2 linked regions of the Coturnix japonica genome follow. The protein of the gene in region 1 interacts with the protein of each later gene in a biochemical or structural test. Links are inferred from orthologs where the notes say so. Each region holds a gene or a part of one and is shown on either strand. Other genes may lie near its edges.

Region 1 (6,594 bases):
TAAATAAAAATAAAAAGTGTTGCCTTGCTCTTAAAAGTACTTATTTTATTACGTACGTTATTGATAAATAGCATCTGTAGGAAGGGGAAGGTGCAGGAGGACACCACTGTCAGACCCCCTTGTGCTTTGGCTGCTGAATTGAAGTCTTCGTGTCCAAGAGGTTTGGTTCATTTTGGGGCTTCGTTTGCCACTGATGTCTTCAGATTGGAAGCAAAGGTGTTGCTACTATCACCCCTGCAGGTATTTAATGTGGGTTTTTGGGTGCTGAGAGCTGTGCTCAAGTGACACAATGGGAGCAAGTGCATGGTTATATAAAGGTCAATGAGCAGAAAGGTTTCCGTGCCCACATTCCTGCTTGCAGCTGCCACCTTCAGGCAGAGGTGGCATTGGTCACAGGCATCAAAGTCACTCACAATGGCTTTTCTGAGTGTAACATGCTGCTCTGTTGGCTTTAAGGATGTGCACAAATCCATCTCCATGCTGGCAGAGGGTTCTGAGCGCAGGCGAAGCTGTTTCAAACAGCCACAGTTTTATTTCCTTGTTCTCAGCTTGCTGTGGAGTTGGATGCAAATGATGGCACGAGATAATAAAAGCCTAAACAAATGCAGCAGAAGGCACGAGGCTGGCAGCTGGAAGAAGGGCAAAGATCTGTACCCATGACCCCAATTAGACGTGCAGTTTGACATCTGATCAGTTGGCATCAGAATCTGAAGCCTTTCATGTTTCTGCCTGGTGCTGAAACCCCACGGCATCTCCAATTAGGAAACAAAGACAAATGCTTCAGAGGTAAAAAAAAAAAATAATAATAATAATACAGTTTCTCTCTTTTAAAACGTCTGAAAGGGGCTCGCTCACAGATCAAACCACCCCGAGGAGGTGTCTCCTGGGAGGGCACCTTCATTATATCTTGACTTCTCTTAGTTTTTGCAATGTAAAGGCCTGGTTCTGGAACACTGAGGGCGGCACTGAGGCTGGGTAATGAGCAACAGGCAGGCAGGGATCCCAGCACTGAGCCAAATCAGAGCACTGAGCTGCACTGGGGACTGTTTAGAGAGCTGAGTGCATTCATGAGGGCTGGAGAAGTGGGGAAAAATGGAGGTGAGGGGGAGCCAGCAGGGCTGTGCCTGCTCTTGGCTGCCTTATTTCCCCAAGTTGGATGCATGAAGGTCATTCTGGACCCAAATCCAGGTGCAGTAACCCCTCTGACCCTCCTCCCTTAAACTCCAGATCTCCAGATTATTGCTGCTTTCCCTCTGCTGTAATTCTGCATCTTCCCTCTTGGTCCTTTAGCTCAGGGTATTTTTATACCCAGTTTTTGTGTGCAGTGTGATTTTCTGCTGAATGGGATGCGCTCAGTCACAATTAGAAGATGGAGATCTTAACACTTGAGCCATATTCCTCATTTATTACTTTTCAAAGAGTTCGGTGGGTTTTTTTGGTTTTTTTTTTCCTTCTTCTTGTTGTCTCCGTGTTTACAAATCCAATAACAATCCTCATTAAGAGTTGCAAAACATGAAGCCATTTTGATCCCAGGCAGATGGCAGCTAAATGAAGTTTAATTAAAGAATGAGCGCTTTGATTCAAATCATTTCTTAAAAATATAGTGCACGGAGATGCTTAGAGAGCAGCATAAACAGCATCTGTGCTGCATTCAGAGCCCATTTGCAAGAAAACACTTTGGGAAAAGAAAATGCAGGGAAATGTTAAGTTGGTTTTGCTGGGTTAGGGGTTAACACTGCATGTGGAAGGGGTTATGATGTGGGGTCTCCTCCAGGCTGAATGCCCACAGCTTTGCTCTACAGGAGAGATGCTCCAGCCCTATGAGCATCCTTGTGGCTCCCTCTGGACCCACACCATGGCTTTGCCATTTTATTATTGGCAAAATTGGATGGATGGATGGATGGATGGATGGATGGATGGATGGATGGATGGATGGATGGATGGATGGATGCTCCCTCCTCAAGGATCAGGAAACAGCCAACTCCAAAGAGTGCTATGGGCTCATAACTCCAAAGAGTGCTATGGAATGTTTGTGTGGGCTCATAGGGAGGCTGGAGAAGCTCATAAGCATGAACTGCTGAGCATTCTGAAGCTGGCAAAGCTCATCATGGACAAGAACCTCCTGAAGGCAGCTGGGGTCTGGGTGAGCACCACAGGAAGGCATTGCATGTGCTTGACTGCAGACACACAGCTCTGAGGACGGAAGAGCAAAGAGGAATGCAGGTAGATTGTGTGGAGGAGGCAGTGGTCCCTTGGTCATATCCCTTGGTCATATCTCTTGGTGCTGGTCTATGTTGAACCCAAACTGGTCCTGTTCACTTGGGTCCTGTGTTGGATGAATACTAAGGGATCAGGCACTGTGCTGGGGAAGCCCTGAAGATGTGTAGTCCATTGATTTGTAATGACAGCATCTGTCCATTGGTTTGTAATGACAACGTCTGTCCATTGGTTTGTAATGACAACGTCTGTCCTGCTCCATGGAGCAGCAGGGCACAAAATGGCGGACACCCCCCTAAGGCAGAACACCCCTCCAAGGCCCACGCGTTGGGTTAGCACCCCCCCGCGCGGTGCACGCTGGGAGATGTAGTTCTCCGCCTCAGGCATTGAGCCGCGGCCGCACGGCGGGCGGACTACATATCCCAGCAGCCCCCGCGAAGAGCGCGCATGCGCAATGGTGCATCGATGAATACAAAGCTCCCTCGGTGAGGCGCTGTATTGAGCCCAGAGACCGCAAAGAGGGCGGCGGGTCTTTGGGCCCATCCCAGCACCGAGAGGCTGCGGGAAAAGGGGCCGCTTCCAACACTGTTCCGCTCAGCCCCCACAGCCTGGCCGCGATTGGATGAGGGAGGAGATGGGCGTGATTTGTATGCTAATAAATTAGGGGTGAGGCCTAGTGTGCTCCTGCGATAGGGCCGTGTTGGTGGGGGGGGGGGGGTGGTCCGACCGCTAATTGTAATTAACCTGCCTGGGCCTCGTGGTTGAGCCCCTTTGCATTGCGATCTCCGTGCTGTATCGCCGCCATATCGCCGACAGAACCACGCTGTCTGACTGCAGTGCAGTGATGGAGCTCCGTGCTGACAGCTTCATTGCTGCTCTGTGGGTAATGCTGCTCTATTTGTATGCCTGCCTTGTGAGCAGTGCCGCTGGATGTGGTTTTCATTGTGTCTAAGGCTTTGTGAGTATATATCAGCCTATTTGGGTCTGGAAATAGTGAGATTTGGGTTAAATATTGCTTTACTAGCAGACTAGAGGATGAAAGGAGTCAGAGATGCTCTTAAAGTAGCCAATGTTTGGGTTGTTTCATCTCTTTAAATGGTTTTCGGTAGTAGCAGAGGTAAAATGCATCTTCCTTAGCATCACAGGTGTGCCTGCATCCCAGCAGGGTTCCTGTGCTTTATTAGCTAAATCATATCAAGATTAATGTTTTCTAAATCAAACTTGGGGAAGAAAAATAGAGCTTTCTTCTGCTTTGAGCCAGTAATGGATCTTTAACAAGATTTGCTTGTGTTTAACAGCTGTGAGTTCTAATCTGTGCTGTTCTGATCCGGTTCTTTCTGTCCTTGGTCTGAAGGCTGATGTTTGGGTGGAATTAAACGTGTCTTGGCCTTGAAGGCAGAGCAGCCAAGGGGTGAGACTGGTAACAGCCAGGCAGCAGTCTGGCTTCTAGATAGAGCATTCATTGTAAATCCATGTTCCTTCTTCTTCCAGCTTGGTAAGGCAACAAGTGCTCAGTTAGAATGGTATTTGTTATAGAAATCCCCTGCTGGGCTGTTTTCCCTTGGGAGCAGCGGATCTTTGGCAATGTGCAAGGCTGAGTGCAGGCACGCTTGCAGCAGCTGTGTTTTGGGGTTCTTGGTTACGAGCCTTCCCATCTGCACAGTACGAGTGGTTTTAGTGTTTGTGCTGGGTTAGCTGCTTTGGAGCTGTGTGAGGCTGCTGAGGAATTTGGCTTGCACTCAGACAGCTCAACCCCTAATGAACTTGTGCTGAGAGTTACAGGGCACGTCACTCTAACACCGATGTCAGAACAGGTTTGTCGTTCTATTAATACAAGTCTTCTTCTGCTGTGCCTCTTCAGGCTATTGCAGATATGAACATACACAGAAAGAGAAGTCAGTGTAAATGCAGCTAATCAATTGATATGCATCTCTCTAGGTGTTTTGTCTAGACGTGGCACAGCATTTTAACTTTCAAGCAGCAGGAGGTATGGAAGAACAGAACAGTGAGCGATTTATACTGTTGCTGTACCTGCATATTTGTTCATATGAGGGTATTCTGGGTTTTTGAGCATGTGAATCTGTAGGTGGATATTCCTGCTCTGTTGCTTGTATCTGAACTGGCTTTATATTTGATTTTCCAGGAAGAGAATGGCCCAAGCTACAGTAGCAGCATCATCCGTGCGTGATGAAGACCCGTCTGAAAGCAGGATGGTTGTCACCTTCCTTGTCTCAGCTCTGGAGTCCATGGTTAGTGGCTGCAGTGCTATAGCAATACCTTACCTCCCTCTGGAGAGCTCTTGTGTCTGTACAGGAAGCCTTCCTGCTTCCAGCTCTGTTCTCCAAACAGAGCACTATTTGTGTTAAGTGTGCTGTGGAAGGATAAAACTCCTGTACTAATTCTAGCTAGGACAACACGATTATCTAATTGGAATCTAATTGAAGTGATAATTTCCGAAGGATAGACTGAATAAATCATTTTAATTAAAAGCAGTTCAATTCCTCAGTCTAGATGAGAGCTTAATTTCACTAATGCACCTACAGTGCTTTTAAGGTTTCTCATCAAAAGAATTCCAGATACATAAACTGTCCTTTGCTAATGACTGACATTATGTAACTCATGATATCTTTTGAGGAGTGGATGCTGGCAGCAGGAGTAGTAACTGCTTTAAGTGATTCCACATACATCTTATTACTGTATACGTTTAACAGGGATGATGAATGCTTTTCTCTTTGTCTTTTCATAGTGTAAAGAACTTGCCAAGTCCAAGGCAGAAGTTGCCTGCATTGCTGTCTATGAAACAGACGTTTTTGTGGTTGGAACTGAGAGGGGAAGAGCCTTTGTTGATTCCAGGAAAGATTTTCAGAAGGATTTTGTGAAATACTGTAAGTTTCAAGGTTGTTTAGTTTTGTATTTCACTCCAGCTGCTTCACGTATATTACAAAATACTTGTATCTCTTGAGAGCAGCGTCCTGTATATTGTGGCTGCATTCTGCAAGTAACACCTGCTATAGAATCATTGCTGCATTGCTTTTGTACTCCTTCACATCTGTGGGAGTGTTTTTTGTTTCTGTTAATTTGATATAGTGGAACTTGTGTGATTATGAAGCTTGATCTGTTGTGTACAGGGCAGTGTTTTGAGAGTGGGCTCTCATAGGTGCAGTGATTCTTTGGGTGTTTTACATGCGTGTACAGGAAAATGCTGTTGATGTTCAGTGCTTAGCCAGTAATGCAGTGCCCCTTTATCTGCCTGGGGGAAGGGAGAAGATGAAGGTCAAGAGCAGGATGTGAGAGGACAGCCAGTCTGGGGGAACTTTATAACAACAGCTGTGAGATGTTCTGGCTTGACTAATTACATACTGCGTGCAGTGCAACCGTGTTTAATCTGTAACTGGAAGATCTGCTTCTAAAAGTGCTTTTGCTGATAGCTAAAACTCTGAAGAATTCAGCTGTGGTTAAGCTCTGGATTTGCTCACTGTTGTGCTGTTGAACGGTGACTTTCTGTGGGTGTAAGTGTATTTACTCTAAGAAAACCACTGTCATGTGGGACTGCAATATGATATTAAAATGCAGAGCGATGACCTCAGTGAGGAACTGAGGATGAGATGGTCATGATGTGAGGAAGTTCAGCTCTTCACCTGACTTGCTGTTATAGGACTTCCCTGTGAAGCCAAATAGTCTTTGCTCACTATCCCAATCTAAGAGTTCTCAGTTTTTTACTGAGTGTTAACCAAGTATTGGTACAGCAGCCTTGCTGCTTCCTTATGATCCTGATCACCTCTGATTATATTCTTATTATGTATTTCTTGCTTGTCACAACTGTATGAAGTCAGAAATAGCTTCTAAATGGGGTGGCTTGTTCTTCTGACAGGAAGCAGAATGTATCTGACTTGAAGAGCAGACTGCATCCCCTGACACATATGGGAAGAGCTGAATGTATTTTTCAGCGTTACTCTAACAAGAGAGGTTACTAGTGGCTCTAACTGCTCCTGATCACATTCCATTTGTCTTAGTTACAGTATCTAAAGGGCAGACTTCCTCTTTGTGCCAGGACAAATGTGAGGATACCGCTCTGTGAGCAGCTGACATCTTTGTGTTGCTGGGAGGGCGATCCCTTGACACTAATGCAGCTAGCTGAAAAATGCCAGTTCTTCTTTGATGGTGATGTGCCAGTGGGAAAACTGGTTTCCCACAGTCATTTTCTTTGGCCCTGAGCTATTCTGTGGTCAGCTGAGACTTCTGAGACTTCCGTGGCTTTTGCTGCTCCTGAAGCTACAGAATATTTTAGGAGAGAAGGGATTTGTTAAATTGTAGGCTTAAATAGGAAGGGAAAGAAAAACAGTGAGAACCAGGCAGAGGATTCATCCTGACAAAACA
Region 2 (6,361 bases), on another chromosome or scaffold:
TGAACTCGGGGACTGGCCTAAATCACAGCACTTCTTAGCAAGTGAGTTCTTAGCAGCCGCCTGCTTAAAGTAATCAAGCATGATGCCTTCAAGCTGAGCTTGGAGAGTTTTTCCTCGCTCACAAGTCTTCCTTTCATCAGTGGTTGTCCCTTTAGACAACAGTCCCCCCATTCCACCCTTTATGGGGCCAATGGGGATTGGCTTCCTTAGTGAGCTCCCTTCCACAAATAACTGCTTTCTTTCTCCAGTGGCAGCAGCCTTTAGCTTAAAGGTCCTCCTGGTACAGGACAGAGACGCTTAACCACAATTACCAACCAGAAGCAACACTCAGTACAGTGGATTCGATGCTCTATTATACACCTCTTAGAGCAAGGAACATCTGTTGGGTTAATGTACTTGCACGTCTCACCCCACCAGCAGCACAGAACACACAAAAGCAAGTTAACAGATCACTTCCAAACACTTTAATATGGTCCAAAAATGAGTAGGATGCAGCTTAGAACTGTATCACCTGGCCCTATAAGAAGGAAGAGATGAGTGTGAGTTTATTCACCCCTGAATCTTGCCCTCTCCCAATGGTAGCACATAGCCTGCTGTCTGTCTGTCCCTTCTGCTGCCACTCCAGGCAGGCTGTTGCATGCTGCTGATAATCCTCCCCTTGATACAGAGCCTCACTCAGCACTTAGGGAGGGCTCAGCCTGTGATGCTGGCAGTATTTCCCCCTTCCCCCCAAGGCCACATGCAGATGATGCTTCCATCACCAGCCAGTCTTGGTACACACACACATACCTTTCTCTTCTTGTCTCCTCCCAGTTCAAAGTGCTTGCATCTCTTAATGGCCAGCATCCTCTTGGACCTGCAGTTGGGCTCCACACACTCCAGCCTCAGCACAATCTTCTTTGTGGTCTTGGCCTGAGGAGGGGGGAAGAGCAATGAGCAGTGTCCAAAAATGAATAAAATGCTGCTCTCAGGAAAAGCCTCTTATCTCCACCCTTACAACATTCATCAGCTTGTTCTCAGAACATAGGAAGAAATTAAACACAGCTGACTTGCTCCATTAAACACAGAAAAGTATCTTAAAGACTGGTAAAGAGTGAATCTGCTCCTTTGCCTACTCATGTTTTAAAGAACTCCGGTGAAAGGACTGACTGGGGCAGAGCTGGTCTCCTGCAGAGATCAATAACAGAGCAGGAAAGCTGCTCCAGCAAATGCCTGTCAGGTTTTGCTTCCCTGCTGTAACAGGGCAGATTTCAGCCCCCATGCTGCATCACTGCACTGTAAGAAAGCAGTGACCTAATAGGGAACGAGGAGCAGCCTGGGATGGGAACTTGTGTTCTTGCACTCTCTGGACAGTTCTACCTGCATGGAGCTGCCACAGTGCGGACTGAACACAGCACAGAGACAGAAGTGTCCCCTCCAGGATGATGTGTGGAGAGCAGATGTTCCAAGCAGGAGTTATGGGAGCAGCGCTCACCTTCTTACGGAAGATAGGCTTCGTCTGGCCTCCATAGCCGCTCTGCTTCCTCGTGTAGCGCCTCTTCCCTGCACGAAGAAACAGGAACGTTTAGACAGCAGCTCTGATACGCTACAAGCACAGCTGGCAGCGCCTCGGCATCAACCACCCCCCCGGGCTCTGCCCCCTGCCCACCGCACCCCCACCCTTACCCTGGGCATAGAGGGAGTCCTTGCCCTTCTTGTACTGGGTGACTTTGTGCGGCTGGTGCTTGCCACACTTCTTGCAGTAGGTCCGGCGGGTTTTCGGGACGTTCACCTGGAGGAGCAGACAGACCTCAGTCAGCGCAGTCAGCGCAGCCACAGGCCGCACAGCCGCCATCCCGCCCCGGTGCTGCGGAGCGCGGCCCGGCCTTCCCGCCCCTCTCCCCACCACAGCACAGGCCCCGCGCCGCCGCCCCGCGCTTACGGCCTCCGCCGCTTCCCAGGCCCGGCCCGCCCGCTGTCCGAGCAGCTCCCCGCATCGCCCAGCGCCTCGGAGCGGCGGAACGAGCCGCCGCGGAGACGGATGGAGGCGGATAAAGGCAAACCCGCAACAGCACACCAACAACGCTCACCATCTTGCCGCTGGTGACCGGAAGAGAAGGAGCGAGCCGGAAGCGGAAAAAGACGTGAGGGGATCATAGAGAGGAGGAGCGGGGAGCGCAGCGCCCCCTTGTGGAGGGGAGGACGGGGAATGGAGGGGAGGGGGAGGGAGGAGGGAGGAGGATGGAGGATGGAGGATGGAGGATGGAGGGAAGGAGGATGGAGGATGGAGGGAAGGAGGTCGGGGCACGTAGGTGTGGGGCCAGGGGCCCTGGTGGTGTAATAGGGACATGGTGGGTGTAATAGGGACATGGGTGCACAGCGACATGGGGCTGTGCAGGGCTACGCAGGGACACGGGGTGCAGGGGAAGCCCTCGTGCCCTTCATGCACAGTGTGCAGCCCATTTCCCAGCCGCACTGCCCAGCACCAGGCCTGGAGCTCACACCCCAGCCCTTCTCCCACCCCCTGCTCCTGCACTGTGCCCCCGGCTCCATGTCCCCACAGCCGGTCCTGTTGGCGGCACTGTGAAGGTGGCCCCGGCCATCTCCAGGAGGAAACGCAGCTGCTGCTTTGAGTCAGAAACTCAGAAAAGGGGAACTGAAAGGGTGGGGTTGGCCGGCCCCGTTCTTCCTCCCTGCACGGCAGACCCCATTGCGGGCCCCGCGCCGTGTCCCTACAGCTGCCCTGGGCCGCTCGGGGCAGGCGTGGAGCAGCGGGCGCAGCCGTTGGGGCGGCCGGGAGGGCCCGGTGAGTGCGGGGCACACAGGGTGGGCTGCGCCCCAGGGGCGTGTGGCAGGAAGAGATGTGACGTGGGCAGCACGAGGGCTCGTGGCCTCACATCTCCGCTGTTTGCGGTGCTGGGGATGGGGGAGGTATCTCAGGTGCTGGCTGTGGTGTGCCATACCGAGCAGCCCCATCTGGGCCGTGAGGCTTGGATGCACACTGAGCTGGCGGCATCCATCCTGCTGCCACGAGGATGTGGGGCGCAGGGCCCTGGGTGGCCATGGGGCTGTGCCAGAATAGGGGGATGGGGTGGTCTGTGGGTGCTACAGTGTGCTGGAACTGCCTGTCGGGGTGCTGGCTGGGTGCTGGTGGCACTGGGGCAGCACGGAGCAAGGAGTGGGGGTGATGTGTGAGTGCTGGAGTGCAGTGGAGCAGGGGGTGGGGTGCTGGCAGTGCCTTTGCACACTGAATCCCTGCTCCAGTCCTGCACTGATTGTGCAGGGTTGCCTGTGGCAGCTCCCCTCCCTCCTTGCACTCGTGTCCGAGGTGTGACAGCGGCAGGAAGTCACATTATCTGGGGGGGATGTCTCCGCTCACCCACTCGCCACCTCTGCTGCCACAATGAGGCAGTGATGGCTGCCTGGGGAGGGGAGTATGGCCAGGCAGCCACCAGCACGGGGATGGGGTCTGGTGGCCCTGCACACATCGACCCCTTCCTCACCCCTGTTGCACAACTGGCAGAAAGGGGCAGCTGGGGAGAAATGTGCTAGTGCAGAGATGGGGAGGCTGTGCTGGGGACAGGGAGAGACAGCACTGTGCTGGATCAGAGCATCCCTCTGTGACACTCACCGTCCTTTTCTCCCTAGTGTCCTCACTGCATCCTCTGGGATAGTGACCTGTCCATTCTGCCCACTGCTGCTGGGGGTGATGTAGTTGCTGCTACACAAGGTAAGGGTCCCTGCATCCTGTGGGTCAGTGGCCACTGCAGCCACCTGCCATGTCCCCAGTTCTCTCAGCCCTCATCCCTGGATCAGACAGAGACTGCTGGTTCTTCACATAACCCATTATTTTTAAGCTGTTCTTATTTTTAAACCACCCAAAGAACCCTAAGCAATGGGGCCCACAGTGGGAGGACAGGGGGAGCCCCGTTGTTTGTAGGCACATAGGGCGGCTTTGCTGCTACAAGGTCTGTGGTGGGGGTCTGGACATTGGAGAAGATGGGAGGGATACCCTGCTTCTGCCCCCCTGCTGGGCATGCCATGGGAGAGGCACAGCGGGCAGAACCACGTAGAATACCTTTGGTCCCCCTGTGGTCCCTGTGGTGAGCAGATGGGCTACACAGATGTGCAGCGGGGAGCTTGACCCCACTATTCCAGGGAAAAGAGAACAAACCTGAGGTGAAGGGATAGGAAGCACAGAGAAGGTAATGGGAGGTGTGGATCAGTAGTGGCTCCATGTGGCTCAGCAGTGAGACCAGGAGCTGGTTACAGCCCTCCGTGGGAGCACCTCACACCTTCAGCCACAGGGTGCTACAGACAACCAGACCCGTTCCTGCAGAGGGTCAGAAGCTGTGCTGGTGGGGGCCGCAGGAGGATTTAAGCACCTGAGTGCTGGCTAAAGGAAACACTTTGAGCCTGGCTCATATGGGGAAAGGAGTTCAGCACTGTCTGCCTGCAGAGTGGGGAAGGATGGTTCTAGAGCTGCTGTTGGCTGTTGTCAGCACAGCACTGCAAGCATTTGGGGCTTTTTTGTGGACCTGCCCCCACAGCTGTCCCATTTGCAAGGCAGAGCCCAGGCAGCTCAGTGGGAGGAAACAGCCCACACAAACACAGCAGTGCCGAGAGGAGGAGGGAGGGTGCTGGGTGTCACAGCTTGGCCTCCATGCTCCTCCCTGAGGCGGTGTTTCTCACGGCCTCCCCAGCTCCCTCCCATCTAGCCACTAGCACCCAGCTGGAGCTGGAGCCTGTAGGGTGGCAGCTTGGTCCTCACCATGGCATTTCAAGGGGGAAGTAACCAGGGAGAAGTCACTCCATAAATACCCTGTATGTGTGCGAGGTCCGGCTGCAGGCAGGTGTTGGGCTGAGCAAGAGCTGTGTCAGTGTCACCCTGCACACAGCAACCCGGGGAGCACGGCGAGGAAGCAGTTGGGGTAGCCAACATGGCCAGCATCATCCTGGAGAGCATCTTCTTGAAGCGCTCGCAGCAGAAGAAGAAAACATCTCCCCTCAACTTCAAGAAGCGCCTGTTCCTGCTGACAGAGAGCAAGCTGTCCTACTACGAGTATGACTTTGAGCGTGGGGTGAGTCTGTGGGGCTGCTGGCCCCACACCAGCACAAAGCATGGGGATGAGGATGTCCCCGGGTCCCCGCTTTGGGGATCATTCAAACCAGTCTTGTCTCTTGCAGCGTCGAGGCAGCAAGAAGGGCTCGGTGGACATTGAGAAGATCACCTGTGTGGAGACGGTGGTGCCCGAAAACAATCCTCCTCCTGAGCGGCAGGTCCCGGTGAGCGTCCCTGCTGCTGTCCCCTGTACTCTCTTTGGGGCAGTGCTGTCTGGTATGGAGCTCTGTGCACACAGTCCAAACTATACTGATGTCCAGCCCAACACAGAGCACGGGGCAGGAGAAAGGCAAGGGCTGTGGGAGCAGCTGAGCTGCAGGATGTCAGTGTCCATCTTTCCCTCTCTCTTCCAGAGGAAAGGGGAGGATTACAACATGGAGCAGATCTCCATCATTGAGCGGTTCCCCTACCCCTTTCAGGTTAGTTCTCATCGTGCTCACTTCACCTTTCTGCTTCAGCTGGCTGCAGGGTAGGAGCTGGCATTGCAGCAGGGGTGAGAAGAGCAGGGGGACATGAGGATAAGCACAGCATCATTTTGGGGACACCCTGCTGCTGTGTGGGGCAGGCTGATGAGCCTTCATGGGCAGTGAGGAATCGGGCGGCTCTCTGGAAAAGGAGATGGATGCTGGCCCTGAGCTTTGTCCTGCCATTTTTGGTCCCCTGGCCAGTCCTGGAGGGATGGATGCTCTTTGCTCACTCAGCCCCCAGCCCAGTTGCTCGTGCTCACTGGCACCCAGCACAATGAAAGTTAGAGAAGGAAGTGGAAAGTCTCAGGGGAAGGGGCTTATTTATAACGTCTCTGTCATGGTTCCATGAGCACCACGGGGCCAGCACACAACGGCACGGCTTTTGCTCCGGGTGGCTGCAAGCCTCTGCTCTCCTATTTCCCCCCATGAGCCATGGCCTGGTGCTGAGCACGTTGGTGTACTACAGGTGGTGTATGACGAGGGGCCCCTCTATGTCTTCTCCCCGACAGAGGAGCTGCGCAAACGCTGGATCCATCAGCTGAAGAGCGGTGAGTTTTGGGGCACCTGGCTGCACATGCGGTGTGACTCAGAGCGCTGGGTTTCCGGGGGCTTGCTGCCTCGTGGTTACGATATCCCATATCTGCGGAGGAGAGAGCTCTATCAGAAAGTGCTCCCATGACGAGCAAAGTCATAAGGCTATTCCCCTGCTTGCATCATTTGTACCATCCCTGTGCTAGCGTGAGCCTGGGGAGAGGGGGCACTCACCTCCTACTTATTCCTACAGCATTGTCTG

What was found. The genes of interacting proteins can lie anywhere in the genome.
Region 2: the proteins of GTF2I (region 1) and BTK form a complex in vitro, tested with the Homo sapiens proteins (4 studies listed by BioGRID and IntAct, with this or other methods). The link is inferred for Coturnix japonica from reciprocal best matches to the Homo sapiens genes GTF2I and BTK.

The regions. Positions count from the first base shown.
Region 1 is NC_029534.1:1,908,261-1,914,854, reverse strand, and holds the start of GTF2I (general transcription factor II-I), read left to right. Parts: upstream 1-2,901; 5' UTR 2,902-3,061; coding exon 3,062-3,096; exon of another isoform or gene 3,097-3,175; intron 3,176-3,223; exon of another isoform or gene 3,224-4,204; intron 4,205-4,360; coding exon 4,361-4,466; intron 4,467-4,963; coding exon 4,964-5,102; intron 5,103-6,594. UniProt on the Homo sapiens protein: Interacts with the basal transcription machinery by coordinating the formation of a multiprotein complex at the C-FOS promoter, and linking specific signal responsive activator complexes.
Region 2 is NC_029519.1:1,974,036-1,980,396, forward strand, and holds the start of BTK (tyrosine-protein kinase BTK), read left to right. Parts: upstream 1-2,251; 5' UTR 2,252-2,785; intron 2,786-3,627; 5' UTR 3,628-3,709; intron 3,710-4,816; exon of another isoform or gene 4,817-4,877; 5' UTR 4,878-4,919; coding exon 4,920-5,060; intron 5,061-5,166; coding exon 5,167-5,265; intron 5,266-5,454; coding exon 5,455-5,520; intron 5,521-6,034; coding exon 6,035-6,116; intron 6,117-6,361. Other genes in the region: RPL36A (60S ribosomal protein L36a), read right to left, coding at 694-912, 1,475-1,542, 1,666-1,771, 2,070-2,072. UniProt on the Homo sapiens protein: Non-receptor tyrosine kinase indispensable for B lymphocyte development, differentiation and signaling. Binding of antigen to the B-cell antigen receptor (BCR) triggers signaling that ultimately leads to B-cell activation.